Linked DNA regions of Alligator mississippiensis. The protein of the gene in region 1 interacts with the protein of each later gene in a biochemical or structural test. Links are inferred from orthologs where the notes say so. Each region holds a gene or a part of one and is shown in the gene's direction. Other genes may lie near its edges.

Region 1 (7,568 bases):
TACATTTGAGTAGTTTTCAGATAGTGGTTATGTCCTTATAGCTAAAGGTACTGAAAAATATGTTACTGTATTTTAATGTTAGTTAATGAAGAAGCATCAGATATATGTTTATAAAGCTGTTTGCTTCTTGCATGAAGGATATTGCAGAAGTTCAGTGTGCTGTTATTTCTTAGTTCCTGCCATAAAACATAAGGCCATAATGACAGTTCTTATTCATGATCGATATATACTCATGTACATGCATGTGCATGCACACACACAGACGCAAATACAGTAAGCCCTAATGTATGCCTGAGAACAGGTACAGTATACTGGAGGTATGGTTAAAACCAGCCAGATGCTGCAAACATATAATGTCTCCATTAGAGTGTATAAGGTACAACTGGCTTCACAAGTTTTTGTAACTGAAACAGCTGCTTATTACTCTTAGATCAAATAGTCGTATCTGAAGTCTACTTTTTAATAAAGGAGATTGCTCTAAAAAATTTATAGTGAAAAATATTTTTAGAGCAGGTCATCAAGCTGAAAAGAATTGCAATTTAAAAAACATACAAGAATGTGAAATGAGAGACAGAATACATAGGAAAGAACTTGTGGTGCTGAGGGTACTTGTGGAATCACCTTGTTCATGCTTGTAAAAAGAAGTGAAAATATAACTTAGACATGAAAACCCTATAAATACACAAATAATTTTCTCATGTTTTCTAACATGTAGACAGTGACATTTTCATTTTGTATCAGACTTATTCTTCCAGTTATAGCAGAATGGTCCCTATTTATTTCAGTTAAGTCTAAATATTTCTTCTTACTAATTAGAAGCCAGACACTTCAAACTTTCTTTATTAGAGTTGTAGAGGAGCCACGCGTGACTATCATCTATGTAGGCAAAACTTCAGTTAAATCAATGCCTCAATAAATAAGAAATGTCACTGTGATTTTTGTTCGAGTAAGGGCTACAATACTAGGTTATTTGCTTCTCTGTAAAGGGACCTTCCACACAGTGGGTACAATTGTGCTGAGTCAAGGATGTAATTTTGGATTTGTTCATGTAATCCTGACAAAAAAAAAATTGGAATAAGATTTAGTGTATATATACATATTTCTGTGAAATCACTGATCTTTCCAAACATGTCCCAAGTATACTGTATTCTGACAGGTTTCCATATGGCCCTACTTATTCTGATTGAAAAGGTAGTTTGAAAGCTGTTCATAGTTTCATAATAGAGACCCTACAAAAAAAAATAAAAGTGAGACCCTCAAAGTAGTCAGGGGGGCCCTTTGCATAGCTCATGTAGAAAAAAAATACTATCCCTTTTTGCATTTGATTTCAGATATGGACTTTCTTTTTGTATCTTGAACTGTATTGTAGATTTGTTTACCATGTATGAAATTTCATTAATCATCAAGGTGATTAAACAGATAGTTATGCAAAAATCAACAGTATCTTCAACTCATTTCAAATATAGTCAAATAGAAAGATCAAATATGTGCTTCAGACACTTAAAAAGATGATGCATTTTGATTTTTGTCTGCATTAGTAATAAGAAGGCATGTTTTGTTTTTTACTTTTGTAATGTGTATGTTAAAATGACTCCAATTTGATCAAATATGAGTTTATACTTCAGAAATATTAAGCTCAGTACAATAACTTTCCAGTAAGTGCTTACAATTCTGGGAATCAATTCAAAAGTAACTTCTATGAATTTATATTTTTTTAAAGAGCAATCCAAAAGTAGTCTGATTTGAAGCTGTCAAAAGCAGTTTTGAACTCAGAAGTGAATTAACACAATGAAAAGTCCCTGAAGCAAATATTGAAAAACTACCCTGGTTGCTGGTAAGAAAACAATGATTTTACATTATCCATATGTGATGGATAGAAATGTCCTTTATCTGTGCCGGGGCATTGATCACACATTTAACTTTGGTTGAAAACCTTCTACATGAAAAACCAAAAAATAACTGCCAACAGTATGATACAATCAGGTGGACTGATTTAAAAAAAAAAAGTTGAAGTGTGGGCTAGATTCTTACAGTAAATACTAATTCTTCCACCCTACTTGTGTGAATTTGTATCTAACTTGGTAAATAGTGCCATTTCAACTGTCTGATGGAAAGTCTACGTAAGCAAACAGAACACAGCCCTATATAAATATATATTGAATATGGAAAATAAATGGATCAGTCCATAAGTGTCATTATTTGTAACTATTTCTGCTGATTGTACCAAAAATACATTTTCCAAGCTATGTTTCCAAGCTATTCATGTCTTGCTTTTAAACATATGAAATAATTGTTCATATGCACAATCATTCCATGACTTGTCCAAGATTCCTTATTTTGTAGGTCTCTTGTCTGGGCAAGATATTCCCTCAGGTTAAGAATGAAAGAGGTGTATACTACAGACATACTTGATTGAAATAGCTGCTAAATTGCTGCAGTAATGAGAAAATTCCCTTTCCCTGGATAATTCAGCTGCTTCGCATTGAAGCATTTTTCAGATAAAGAAGTTCAGTGAAATTAAAAATTAAAGAGAATTTCTTTCAAATCACATATTGCCAGTTACATACCCCTACTCCCATTGAATTCAGCAGCAAAACTCTTATGCATTTGAATGGAAACATGGTGAGGCCATAAAATCAGTTTTTGCTATAAAATAAGAGACTGGTTTATACACGCATTTGGATGTGCAAATGCTGATGTACATCTGAAAAAAATGTGGTTAAAAAAAAACACATGATGATGATGAAGTTCACCTAAATCTTTCATTGGCTTAGAAAATAGGTCAAGTCATTGCTTGCTAGCTCTCTGCTGGTAGCCAGTGCAGTCTCTCTATTCCAGAGTAGAAGAGATTTTGCTTGATATTGGAACATCAACTTTCATTCATAAGGTCTGTTGATTGCAAAGCTTGGCTTTCAGCAGTTTTTAACTGAAATTCATGTATTATTTGTGTAATTACATTATTGCCTGTGTCTTTTCATTTAAGACTGTACTATAACATACTCACAGCTGTTTTGAACTTTTAAATGTTTTAGTATGCTTTATTTCTAGAATTTTTTAATGCTTTCTTGATGGCCACTTGTTTGTATGCAGTTGCGAATATATATACACACATTTCTCAGTTAATATTTAAGAAAGGATAAAGTAAGCATTACTAACTGTTGCTTAGAATTCAGTTGCTGCATACATAAAGCTCTGTATTTATCAACTCATTTGTTATGTTTGTGGGATGTTTTAATGCAGGCATTGCATCTATGAATGAGATGTGACCAAGCTCGCACAATTTTGTGTATATGCAAAAAAATGCGGCAGCATATCTACAGCCTTCCAACTTTTTTTTTTTTTTGATAGAACGGCATTAAAGTTCTTGTTTTAAGAGAAATCGGGTATTAGATCGCAGTTCCTCAGGACAATTATTAGGTTTTCTTCATATAGGTGGAGATAGCTATTAGTAAAGTAGGGCTGTGATCCTGTTTGGGGCCTCCCTCTGTTACAATGATATTTCCCTCTCATAATCATTATTTAATATTAATTGATATAGGTGTAAATAACATAGCTTTGGTAAGACACTAGGTCTAATTGGGAAGGCACTTCTCTGTGCGCAAATGGGGGAAGCCACAGTGAAGAAGTGTGTGCACATTGGTGAGGAAGCATAAAGCAGCATGTAAGTTTGGGAACTTGAGTAGACAGGAATAAATGTTAAGTCTTTGCATTATCCATAAGAATTAAACTGAAGGCTTTGCTCAGACTAAGCTTGGTGAAGTTAGAACTGGAAGCTGCAAATCCAAGGATATTAACACAAGTTTTGTACCATGGTGGAAATCAGCAGGAATTGGGGAAAGGATGACTGCTTCCCTGCCTCCTTCACTGACTTATGAAAATGTAGCGAGCCCTGCAATATTTTTGCTTTTCTTCACCCCACCAGCTCCTATTGTATGGGTTTATGAGGCGTTTGGCTTTCTCGCTTTAAAAATAAGTTTCTGGCTTTTGTGCTTCATACCAATATGAGCCTTAAAATGAAAACAACAAACAAGCAACCCCTCCCCCCCACCAAAAAATAAAAAAATCAAAGGACAAAGATAAAGAACCTGATATATACAACTCTCCCTGTCTAATTACTTATCTACTTTACTTTGCTTCGTTTCTTTTTCTTCCTTCTACCTACTTTTCTTTCTGTCTCTTTTCTTCTTTCTTTTTTTGTCTTCCTCTTTTTCTCTTTCTTTCCTTCTCTCTCTCTTTTCCTGTTTCTTTCTCTCTCTCTTTTCTTTCCGTTGCCTGTCCGTCTTTCCTTCCTCCTAGCTATCTATCTGCCCTATGAAATCATCTCTCTCATGTCACGATTTTGAAGGCACCCTCTGCCGGGGGGGGGCCGGCCCTGCCGCCCACTCGTAGTCGAGAGAGCCAAAGGCGCCTGCCCCCGCCTGCCTCCCCGGCGCTGCCCGGGGCACCTATCCGCCCCCGTGGTCCCGGGCGGCGCTGGGGGCGGGGCGGGGCGGGGCGGGGCAGGAGGCGAGGGGCGGGGCCGGAGGCGGGGCCAGGGCTGCGGGTGCAGCGGCGGAGGCAGCAGCAGCAGGAGCAGGCAGGCGGGCTGCTCGTGGGCATTGCAGCACAGCTCGGCAGCCGGGGCGCGGAGGCGGCGGCGCGGGGGACGCGCCCAGGCTCGCGAGGCCGGGGGCAGGCTGCGCCCCTTGGAGCGCGGACCTAGCCCTTCCTCCCTCCCCTCGCCCGCAGCTCCTGTTCCTGCTCCGGCCCGGCCTGCGGAGGCTTGGGGCGCCGCTCGCTGCACTAGAACTAATCGCGGGGGAGGTGCGCGGGCGGCGCGGGGCGGGGCGGGGCGGAGCGGGCGATCGTCAGTCAGTCCGTCTGTCTGTCTGCGCGGGGCCGGGCCGGGGCCTCCCGCGGCCGCAGGAGCCGCCGCTGCAGCAGCCGAGCCCGGGCGGTGAGTGCCTACGCCGGGGCCACGCGGGGAGGGAGGGCGGGCGGGGCGAGAGGGCTGCCAAGTTTGCCCTCCCGGCTGGGGCAGGGTCCTTCCCGGAGGCACAGAGATCCCGCCCGCCCGCCCGCCTGCCTGCAGCCCCTCCGGCTCCCCCCGCTGCTGAGCTGGGCTCCCCGCTTCATCCCCTCTCCCCTGCTGTGGGGCTGGGAGACGCGTTCCCTCCTCCCCCCTTCCCCTTCTCCTTTCTCTTCCCAAACGTGCCTTCTCATCACTTTAAGTTCCCCAATGTGCAGCCCCCCCGGGGAGGGGGGCGGCTTCCTTCCCTCTGAAGCAGAAGGTTGGGACTTCAAGACATGCAGAAATCTACAACTCCCAGTTCGGAGACCATACCTCTTATTAGGCTAACTAGGAGATTGCCAAAATATGTATATCTTTTTGTAAGCTTTTGGGCTTGGGTGCCCTTCTGCAGGCTCAGGGTAAATTAAAGATGGTTCAGAGTCCCTGTAGGTAGGAAATAAACTTCATTTTGGCACAGAGGGAGCTGGAGATGGAAAATCAGTCCCTCTGGGTCCATGAGGGTGTCTTGGTGAGTTGTTTGAGAGGCATTTTGGTACCAGAGAATCACAGCGGAGCAGGGTGGGGTGAGGGGGGCATCTAGTGCAACCCCCTGCTCCAAGCAGGACCATCCCCAAGCTGATCAGCCCAGCCAAGGCTTTGTCTAGCTGGGACTTAAAAGCCTCTGAGGATGGAGATGCCACAGTCTTTCTGGGTAACCTGTTCCCATGCTTTACTGCCCTCCTAGTGAGAGAGTTTTTCCTCCTATCTAACCTAAACTTCCCTTGCTGGAACTTGAGACCATTGCTGCTGTCCCCAAAACCCTTCAAGGGTGACTCATCTCCCCCTCCCCCCCCCCCCCCAACCTTTGAGGGCTTATTTTTCTTTGCTCCTGGTAGGAGTTTGAACAGCACAAGCTACAGCCATGTACTTTTGGGGTTGAGGGCAAGTTGGTAGGATTTTTTTAAAAAAAAGGCTTTTGTGAGGACAGACACTTTGCTTTTTTTGTTGGCGGGGGTTACTTTTGAGTCTTTCTTTTTAGTTTAAAGTAACCATGAAAGGCTGGGAGGGCTGGACACATGTTGACAGTCTCTCAGAGCTATGGAGTTGGTGGCTTTAGGAGTGACTCGGTGCAAGGGGGGGGGGGGGGTACGGTTGGCCCATGCTGTTGGTGGGTGGAAGAGTGAGTTGATTGAACAGTATCTTTTTTCTGCCCCCACCCCTTCAGGAGTTGTGCCTGAATTGGTAGATTGTAGTAATGTTTTGAGAGCATATGTCTGCTGGGCGTTGGGTTGGGACCTCCCAGGCCACTTGGAATTGAACCGAGTCATGACAGGGGACGTTTTCAGATAAGGGATGGAGTTTGTTTATAAAAAGAGCAATCTAATCTACTAAATTTCTTGTGAGGAAAAAATAGCCTCCCTTCTGAAATGAGGCCATCTGCGCTCGCTTCCTAGTGGGTGGTACCAAGCCTGTGTCTTCATTGTTCAATTCTGAATTGCTGTTTATGGGACTTGGCACTGGAGTGCCATGTGCACACGCACACCTTCCCCCAGAGGACAAACAAAAGTTTTCTGATGTGAGAATGGCCTGCTTCTGTGGCATGTGAGAATCATCATATGGTTTTATGGCATCTGAGGAAGGGTTTCTGCAAGGGGAACAGGAATTGACCTGTCATGGTGAGCTCTCATATAGCGCACCTAAAATTTAGTACAGATATGGGTTTTCTGCTGCTGGCGCAATTTCTTTGCTCTTAAACTTCTGGTGGAGGAATCTTACTCTTTTAACCTGTCCCCATTCCCTTATGAGCGGGAACAAATACTGACTTTGAAGCAGTAGAACCAGTGGATGATGCATTTAGTATTACATATGTATGTGCAAAGGTTGTACAAGGGATTAGTGATTGTGCATTAGAAGGTGAATGGGCACCTGTCCTTCTTTTGGACTGGCCAGTTCTCCTGGATTGTTATCTGTTGGAGGTGAGATCACCTCACTTGGTCTCTTTAGATCACGAATGTGTTGAATATCAAGGGCTGTCAAATGTCCAGTGTAACCAAACTGGATAATTGTACTCCTAATGCTAAGGATGACTTGTACCTGTAGTAGGTAAATAGATTTTCAGATGAAAATGAAGTTTCTTTTTCTAGTTGCCAGGTGCTCCTTAAAAAAAAAAAAAAAAAAAATAAAGGCAGAAGTTGAAGAATAAGAGGTTTGGGGTTATTATGATAATAAAAACCATACTGTTTGAAGAAGCAGAAATGTTTTCATATGGTAAACTTCAGTGGCTGATTTGAATGTTAAATATACCACCTGCGGTATTTGTCAGCTGTTTTTTCTCTTGAATCTGTCATTCTGTACAAGACACCAAGAGGAAAAAAATGATAAAAAAGCAATGGTTCACTAAAGGTTGTCACAGAGTTCAAACCTGAGTGAACTGCAGTGCTGATCTTACTTGCTTGTAGTTTTTGCTTCATCTGAGCTTTGTTAAAAAAGACACAGGCCTGCTTGGTTATGGCTTATCACACTGCCCTTCCAGGGGGAATTCTTCTTCCTTATTTGTAAGTAGGTAATATAGCTAATT
Region 2 (7,696 bases), on another chromosome or scaffold:
TATACTAAGCAACAGCTTAGAAATAGACCCCTTCATCATTAGAACTGGAGTCAAGTAAGGATGTGTGATGATTACACCAACGCTCTTCCATCTCTATCGCTGCTTTTCTACATATTGTTGTTGATAGACTTCCAAATGGTCTGAGAATCCAAGGGAATCTCCTTAACATCAACTAGTTACATTCCAAATCCAAGATAACCAACACCTCTCTTGTTATCTGTCTGATCTCCTGGCTTCCTGACAGTCTGTTTCTAGACTCTGTTCAATATGCTGCTGACTGCTTCAACTGAAGAGCTCTGGGTCACCCTTGATTATTTCTGTGAAGCACATGAAATGCTAGTCACACACTGTCAACTTCACAAAAATCAAGGTCCTTTACTAACCCACCCCAAGCCAACCCAGGTGCTCCTCCACATATTACAATTAGGGGGTAGTTTTGGGAGAATCTTGAGCATTTCCCCTATGTGGCGTACCTACCTGCAGCAGGGATGCTGCCACGAGATGAGACTCACCTCCAGCGCCAGAGCAGAGGGAAAAGCAATGGCCGCCAAATGCCGCTGAAGACCAAAGGTGCTGCGGTGTGAACATTTCCACAAGAGGAAAAGCATAGGTGGCACAGGGGCAACAGGAAAAGCAGCAGCAGCAGAATGCCACTGAGGACCAAAAGCACCTAAACACACATTCCAGCGTGGGCATGCTTTATGGACTCTTGCTGCCAATGATTCACTGGCCTTCCGAGAGAGGGATAAAATCCATACCAGCCAATGTCCAGGGAGGACCAGAAGTGAGGCCTCCTGAGAGCCAGGAGCAGCAAGAAGTGAATGGATGCCCCGGTAGGGGCCAGTGATGGCAAACCCAAGAGTTGGGGTGCCCAGCTAAGGCTGGCTCAGAGGAGCCAGGATACATACCTCTCATGAAGCCATAGTTCCCAGACAATGCTGATAGAGACTGGGACAGCAGCAAGCCTCCGGAGAGAGGAAAAGAAGGATATTAAAAGCTGTAAGGAATGCCTGGGGAGGGAGTGAGCCCTCAGGGAAGGCACCCCGGGGTATATGCAGCGACAAGTCAGGCTGACGTGACACCTTGACAAGGACAGTAAGCCATCTGAACTGGGACTGAAATTAAACAGGGGCTAATGCCTAGCCATGGCTGACAGTGAGTTAGCCTCGGCCAAGACCTAACATCATCTGTGGTTGGCGTAAGGAAGGGTGTAGGGGAGGTGGAGGCCCAAGACAAAGACCTGTGCGAGAGACCTAAGAGGGAACCAGGAGAGGCAGGACTTCAGAACTTCCTCCCAGCAATAATCTTTACAATCAAGTTGTGGCAGGCGAGAACCCATGGGGACCTTAAGGACTCCCATTGGAAAGCAAGCTGCTGACCCACAAGGGGACAGCAGCACTCAATTGCCCCGAAAAGTCAAAATGCTCAAGTAAATGCCATGGTAAACTACACCACCTTTTCCAAAAAAGTAAATATAGATGACAGTATTCAGCACCAGATAAAATCTGCCAGTGCTACCTTTTGGATGTCTCCAGAACCATGTATTCAGGACCCAAACTAAACTTCTCATCTACCAAGGTGTTGTCATCCTTACCATGTTGTATGGGTGTGAACCTTGGATGACATATCAGAACCACCTGAAAGCTTTGGAATATTGGCATCAGCAATGCCTTAGGACAGTGGTTCCCAACCTTTTTTTCCTGTAGACTGGCACAGGAGCAGGACAGGGCACATGGAGCCGGCTGCCTCCTTCCCGGGGCTGCCCCAGCCCCCAGCTTTAACTCTGTTCACCTTGGAAGCTGCTCACTCGGGCAGAAAGATTGGGGTCTGAGCAAGGGGCTTGTGCTACAACCCAGCAACCAACCCTTCGCAGCCCAATGGTTGGGAATCTCTGCCTTGGGAAAATACCCACTATTAACTGGAAGGACAGAAGAACAAACACCAGCATTCTGGCTCAAGAAATACCACCAGCATTGAAGCCATGTTTATAGGTCCTTTGGACAGGACATGTTATCAGGATGCCTGACAACCAGCTCCCAAAACAGTTCCTATACTCCCAACGCACCAATGGTCACCAGTCCAGAGGTGGGCAAAAGAAAAGCTTCAATGACACCTTGAAAGCCAATCTAAGGAAGTATATTAACATCTATATGTGGGAGATTCAAGCACTGAATCATCTCCAATAGCACCATGATGTGCAACAAGGCATTAATCATTTTGAGCAAATTAACATCACTATGGCGGCAGATAGACAAGAGAGAGAAAAGAAGCTGTGACCTGACATCTCTAGTATCTACTGCTTTGCCTGGAACTATTTGCCATGTCTGCAGTCAAACATGCAGATCTTGGATTGGCCTCCTCAGTCACAGACTCATTGATGACTTTGCTATTTACTGGAAGGCTGTCATCCTCATATTGAAGACTGTCACTGCCAATTGACCCATGTTTTGGTTGTTTGAAATAGAGGGCACTTAGATGTGCAGTGGGGCTGGTTCAACACACAGTAATTAATCCTGTAATTACTGCACTCCAGCAGACCCCAGTGTCACATGCATCAGTGTCCCCACACTGAAAAATAGCAGCAGGGGCACCTTAACTAAAGTTTGCTCAATGAGCTTTAGTTAAAGAGCCCCTGCTGCCACTTTTTAAGTGCAGGGACGCTGATACACATGATGCTCCAGGCATTTTAATCAGACCAACTCAGAGCTGCTCTAATTAAAACCTTCCACCCCACCCCATGCACACTCCTGGACCATGTCTATAAATGCCCAGAAAGTCCTCAACATGAACTAATTTTGAAGAAGCACTGGGCCACCTTTATGAAAGAGAACAGACATGCACTGTGAAAGAGTTAAAGGTGTTTACTGTCCATATATTATTAGTACTTGAACCCTGTCCATCTCAACAACAGAGTACGACTGACATGTGAGGGGTCTGGAAGTCAGGTGCAATTTGGGTGTATCGCTCAAAGAAAGGACTCAAAAAATTATGTTATATCTGATAACTACAAATAGTACTATTATAATGGATATGGCCATAGAGCAAGAATAAGGTACATATTTGTTTGTTCCTTCACCAACAGAAATCTACGCTGTCATACACCTGTTGTACTTTTAGTCTTTGAAAGAGATGAAGCAGGAGGTCATTTCTGCTCATTCCTTTCACTGAGTTTAGGTCTCCTGATTCTAGCTCTATGTTTCAATAAGGCTCTTGTACCCTTTTTGGCAGCCTCTTGGAGAACACTCTTTGCACTGGATTTCCTAAGCCAGTGTAGAAGTGGATGACTGAAAACTTGTCTTAGCCCTAGTTCCCCTCTTGGGATGCTTGTTTTTAGAAAGGAAACCAGAGCATAGTGTGATGTAGGGCTGGTGGGAGTGGTGAAGAGCATGAAACAAGTTGAGGTTGAAGGTAATTAAGTTTATGTGGTAGATGGAGCGTTCAGAGGACAGCAGTAGTTTTAGTCATGGGTGAAAGAGCAAAGGACGCTAGAGGTTGAAGAAGAGAAGTAAAGAGATCACAGTACATCTCCATAGTCATCTTCTTAAAAAACCTTGACAAGATCTCATGTGGAGGCAACAGGATGAAAAGGAGAGGTTATGAGTCAAGAGTGGAAGACTATAGGCAGCATCAATCACAGACTTGGTTCAAATTCAGAGAACCTATAGGTTTTCTTGTCCAGGAAAATGTCAAAATTAAGAGTGGCATAGTACTAGATGCTTTTCAATACATTCTGGAAAGCTTTATTTACTACTTCATTTATTTTTGAAACATAACAAATGTACTCCATCTACTTTGGAGTTTACTGCCATTTTCACTGTTAGTGTGTAGTAGCTTTGCGGTACACAGCACGGGGAAAGCTTGAGAGAGAAACAGTTGAGCCAGCCAAATAAGGCTTATAATTAGACAAGGTGTGGCCTGCTTTGATTACAAGTTCCTTGGTACCTTCTTTTACGTTTTCAGTCCAGGACCCAGCATACTCATCAAAGGTTGTACTGGGGTGTTCAGAGCACCAGCTCTGAGGAAGCCATCACGTTGCTGGAGAACAACTGTGCTAGTTTCTCTCAGTTGTGCCATCCCCTTCACTCTGCTCCATCCGGGCTGTCTGATTTGCCTAATCTCTGTACTGTTATTTCTCAGCGACTGCTTCTATGGTAATGCCGTACTCCACCTAACTACTCATCCCGGTATTGTTTTGAAGAGACCTAGAGTGAATATGCAAAGCCGTGCTGCTGGCTGGTGAAACACCTTTCCTTCGCCTGCTCCTGTGGTCTGCTCCGAGCCGTGTGCCAGGACCAAGGACACTGCCTCCGGCTTCCTTCGCCTTCACCCACAGCAGCCCTCTGGGCCGCGGGGAGGCCGGTCGGGGCCGAAACGAGAGGCACCTGAGCGGCCCGGGAGCGGAGGCAGGGCGGGGGAGCCCCGGGGCGAGGAGAAGCGAGGGTTGGGTGTGAGCGCCAGCACGTGCCCCCGGCCGGGGCGGCCCCAGGGCGGGGGCCGGCTCGTCCTACCCCCGGCTCTCACACCTTGCCCGCGGCCCGCAGCGTCCTCCCCAACATGGCGCCGCCGCCGCCCCGCGGGGGCCTCCTCAGCGGGGGCGGGGCAGCCGCCGGCGGGGCGGGGCGGGGCGAGACGAGACGAGGCGGCGGTTGCAGCGGGGGCTGCCGGCGGAGGGGAGTGCGGCGGGGCAGTGCCAGGCGGCGGCGGGGAGATCGCTCCCTCCCTCCGCGCGGGCAGGAGGCGCCGGGAAGCCCCGGCCGCCCCCGCACCTGCGCCCGGGGGAGCAGCCGCGGGTCACCTGCGCGCCCTCCTGGGGCCGCCGCGGCTCAGAGCGGGTCGGGCGCTGTGCGAGGCGGCGGCCGGGCCGGGCGGCGGCAGCAGCAGCAACATGAACCCCAATGTCACCTACGCCAGTCGGAAGCGGCGGAAGCCCGTGCAGAAGATGTAAGCCCGGGCGGGGTGGGGGCGGGTCTCGTCTCGGAGCAGGTGAGTCCGAGCAGCCCCCGGGCGGGGGGCGCTCGTCGCTCCGGCCGCCCAGCGGCGGCCCCCGGCGGGCGGGCGGGCGAGCGAGCCCGCGCTGCTGACCCGGGCGAGGCGGCGGCCGGCGGTGACCTAGTCTCAGGAGGCATCTAAGGTGACGGGCGGGCGGCCGCCTCGGGCCGGGATCGCTCCGCTCCGCCCCGCCCCGCCCCGCCGCACTCGGCGCGAGCCCGGGCCACGCCGGGGAGGCGGCAGTGCCCGGGGCTCGGGCCCGAGGGCGGATGGGCTCCCCTGCACCCCGGCGGGTTTCCAGAGTGACCCGCTTCCATGTGCCCCCCCACCCCGGTGCGTGCGGCGGGGCAGCTGCGCTTCGCCAGGCGCTGCCACGTCTGACCACGAGACACGTGTCGCTTGGCAGCTCCTGGGCCTGATCCCGACTGTGCCAGAGCCCCCGCCGCGTGGCGATCCTTGCTCCGCTGGGAATGGGCCTTAGGCTTGACTGGCCTGGCATCAGGGTTACTCGCATTTCTGTGACCGTCTATGCTAAGGGTTCCCCACCTTCTTTTGCACCAGGACCCGTTTGTAAACGCCGATTGGCAGTCCCGACCCGCTGCACCCGTGCCCCAGCCACTGGGGCAGGGTGGGCCCAAGCAGCCGCTCACAAGCTGGAAGTCTGCCAGCCTGCAAGAGCAGCCCCACAGTTTCCCATGTTTTTCTCCTATAAAGGAGAACGCATTTTTGACGTTTGTTTGCAGCCCTTTCATATACTTTTGCAGCCCACTTTTGGGTCACAACCCACAGGTTGAGAAATGCCGGTCTAGAGGAAGAAGATAGGTTTTGACATTTAGGTGTCAGGCATCTAGATGACTGGCTTTCGTAAAGAAGTAGAATACAAGACTGTAAGGAAGAAAAAGAGGACCCCCCCCCCCCCCCCCCATGATTCAAAGCCAAAGCAAGGTTCTTATTCTTGTTAATCGCGTGCATTTGTGCAGATAGCATTGCTGGAGTACATCTGCTACACTGAAATCCCTTCCAAAACGTAAGCAAAGGAGGAAAAGGAGTATTTGGGAGACTAGCTGAGTAAGCAGTATTCTTTTATTCAGCACAGCTTACAGCTCTTATTTTGGATTGCTGCTTTGGGCTAGGATGGCTGTTGCTATTACGGTTTGGGGGGGGAGGGGGTTGTTGTTTGCTTTTCAAAAGGAGATTTCTCTTTAAATGAAGGTGCTGTGTTATAGACTTTAAATAAAGAATTAAAAGCTCTGAAAAATTCTTGACTTGGGCAAACAGCAGCAGCCAGGCAGAAAGTGTGGCAATTATAGAAATAAATTGGGGGTGGTCATGCTTTGAGCTGGAGTCGGACTAGATAAACTTTTCTCCACATGTGAGTTGTGACCCAAAAATGGGTTGCAAGAATATACGAAATGGTTGCAAATAAACTTTACAATGGATCAACAAACTTTAAAAATGAATTCTCCTTTAAAGGAGAAAACTAGGAAACCGTGGCTTTTCCCCTGCAGGCTGGCAGAGTTCCATCCTGCATGGGGTTGCTTGGGACCCCCTTGTCCCAAACTGAGGGCCTGCGGGCGCGCAGTGGGTCGGGAGTGAGGGGCACTGGATTCGGACTTGCCATCAATGTTTACAAATGGGTCCCTTACAAAAAAGGTTGAGAACCACTGGACTAAGTGACCTCCTGAGGTCCCTTGCAACCCTAATGTTTTACGATTCTGTGATACTGTAAATAGGCCTATCTACTGTTGAGCTAAAATAGAGAGGTTGAGGTGTTAAAGCAATTCAGCAGTATAAATTTACATTTTATAAAGAAAATAGTAACTCTGTTGCTCTGCATGCAAGTGTATACACTCTACCACCTGTCCAGCTAATAACAACTTTCCAAGTCTATAATTTCTTTGGCTAAAACTTATTCAAAATTGTGGCAATATTTGCTTTTTCTGGTCAGAGAACTTCATGATTTGCTTACTAATAAATTCACTTTGATTACCAGATGTGCAAACTATTTTTATTTTGAGCTATTGATTGTTGTATAACAACTCACTGTTACTATTTTATATTTCTTATTTCAATTGGCTGAACTTCTCTTATTTGTTGAACCTGAAGAATATTTCCTTTTTTCATGAATGGAAACCAATCAACAACATTTTAGGGCTAAAGGGAAAATAAACATTTCTTCTTAAAGTAAATGTTTTTGGTTTGAATGTATCCTATATAGTTGGTGTTTTACCTACCTTATGGAGGAGGAAAAAAATGTTATTATATTACGTAGTGCCCTGTTTGATTGACAGACAACTTGTGCAACATAATTATTTTTTGTTCAGTGTATCATTTATTATCCTCCTCTTACTTACGCTGAATGGTCCTTGATTATTTTTTTATTTTTTTTTTTTGCATTTGTCCTCTTAGATGTTTCCTAAAGCTGCTCTACAGGCCCCAAAGGGTTTGATTTCTTCAATTAAAAACTAATCATAGTACATATCTTCGGGCAAAAAAGTTGAGTCAGTCAGAGAAGCAAACAGTTGTCAGAGCTGATTTAAGAGAGTTGGTTTTTGGTTACAGTCTATTGTTGGGTAGTAAAGCTTTTACATGTTTGTAAAAAGATTTGTGTGCTGTCTATGCCTTCCTAAAACCAAGGTGTCCCACCAGTGGGATGCAATTAGCCTAGCATCAACTTAATTCCGAATTCAGACCTCTTGAGAAAGCG

The links.
Region 2: the proteins of NRIP1 (region 1) and AHR form a complex in vitro, tested with the Homo sapiens proteins (2 studies listed by BioGRID). The link is inferred for Alligator mississippiensis from reciprocal best matches to the Homo sapiens genes NRIP1 and AHR.

Annotation. Positions count from the first base shown.
Region 1 is NC_081824.1:278,940,119-278,947,686, reverse strand, and holds the start of NRIP1 (nuclear receptor-interacting protein 1), read left to right. Parts: upstream 1-4,558; 5' UTR 4,559-4,936; intron 4,937-7,568. UniProt on the Homo sapiens protein: Modulates transcriptional activation by steroid receptors such as NR3C1, NR3C2 and ESR1. Also modulates transcriptional repression by nuclear hormone receptors.
Region 2 is NC_081828.1:163,341,842-163,349,537, reverse strand, and holds the start of AHR (aryl hydrocarbon receptor), read left to right. Parts: upstream 1-4,678; 5' UTR 4,679-4,885; coding exon 4,886-4,941; intron 4,942-7,696. UniProt on the Homo sapiens protein: Ligand-activated transcription factor that enables cells to adapt to changing conditions by sensing compounds from the environment, diet, microbiome and cellular metabolism, and which plays important roles in development, immunity and cancer.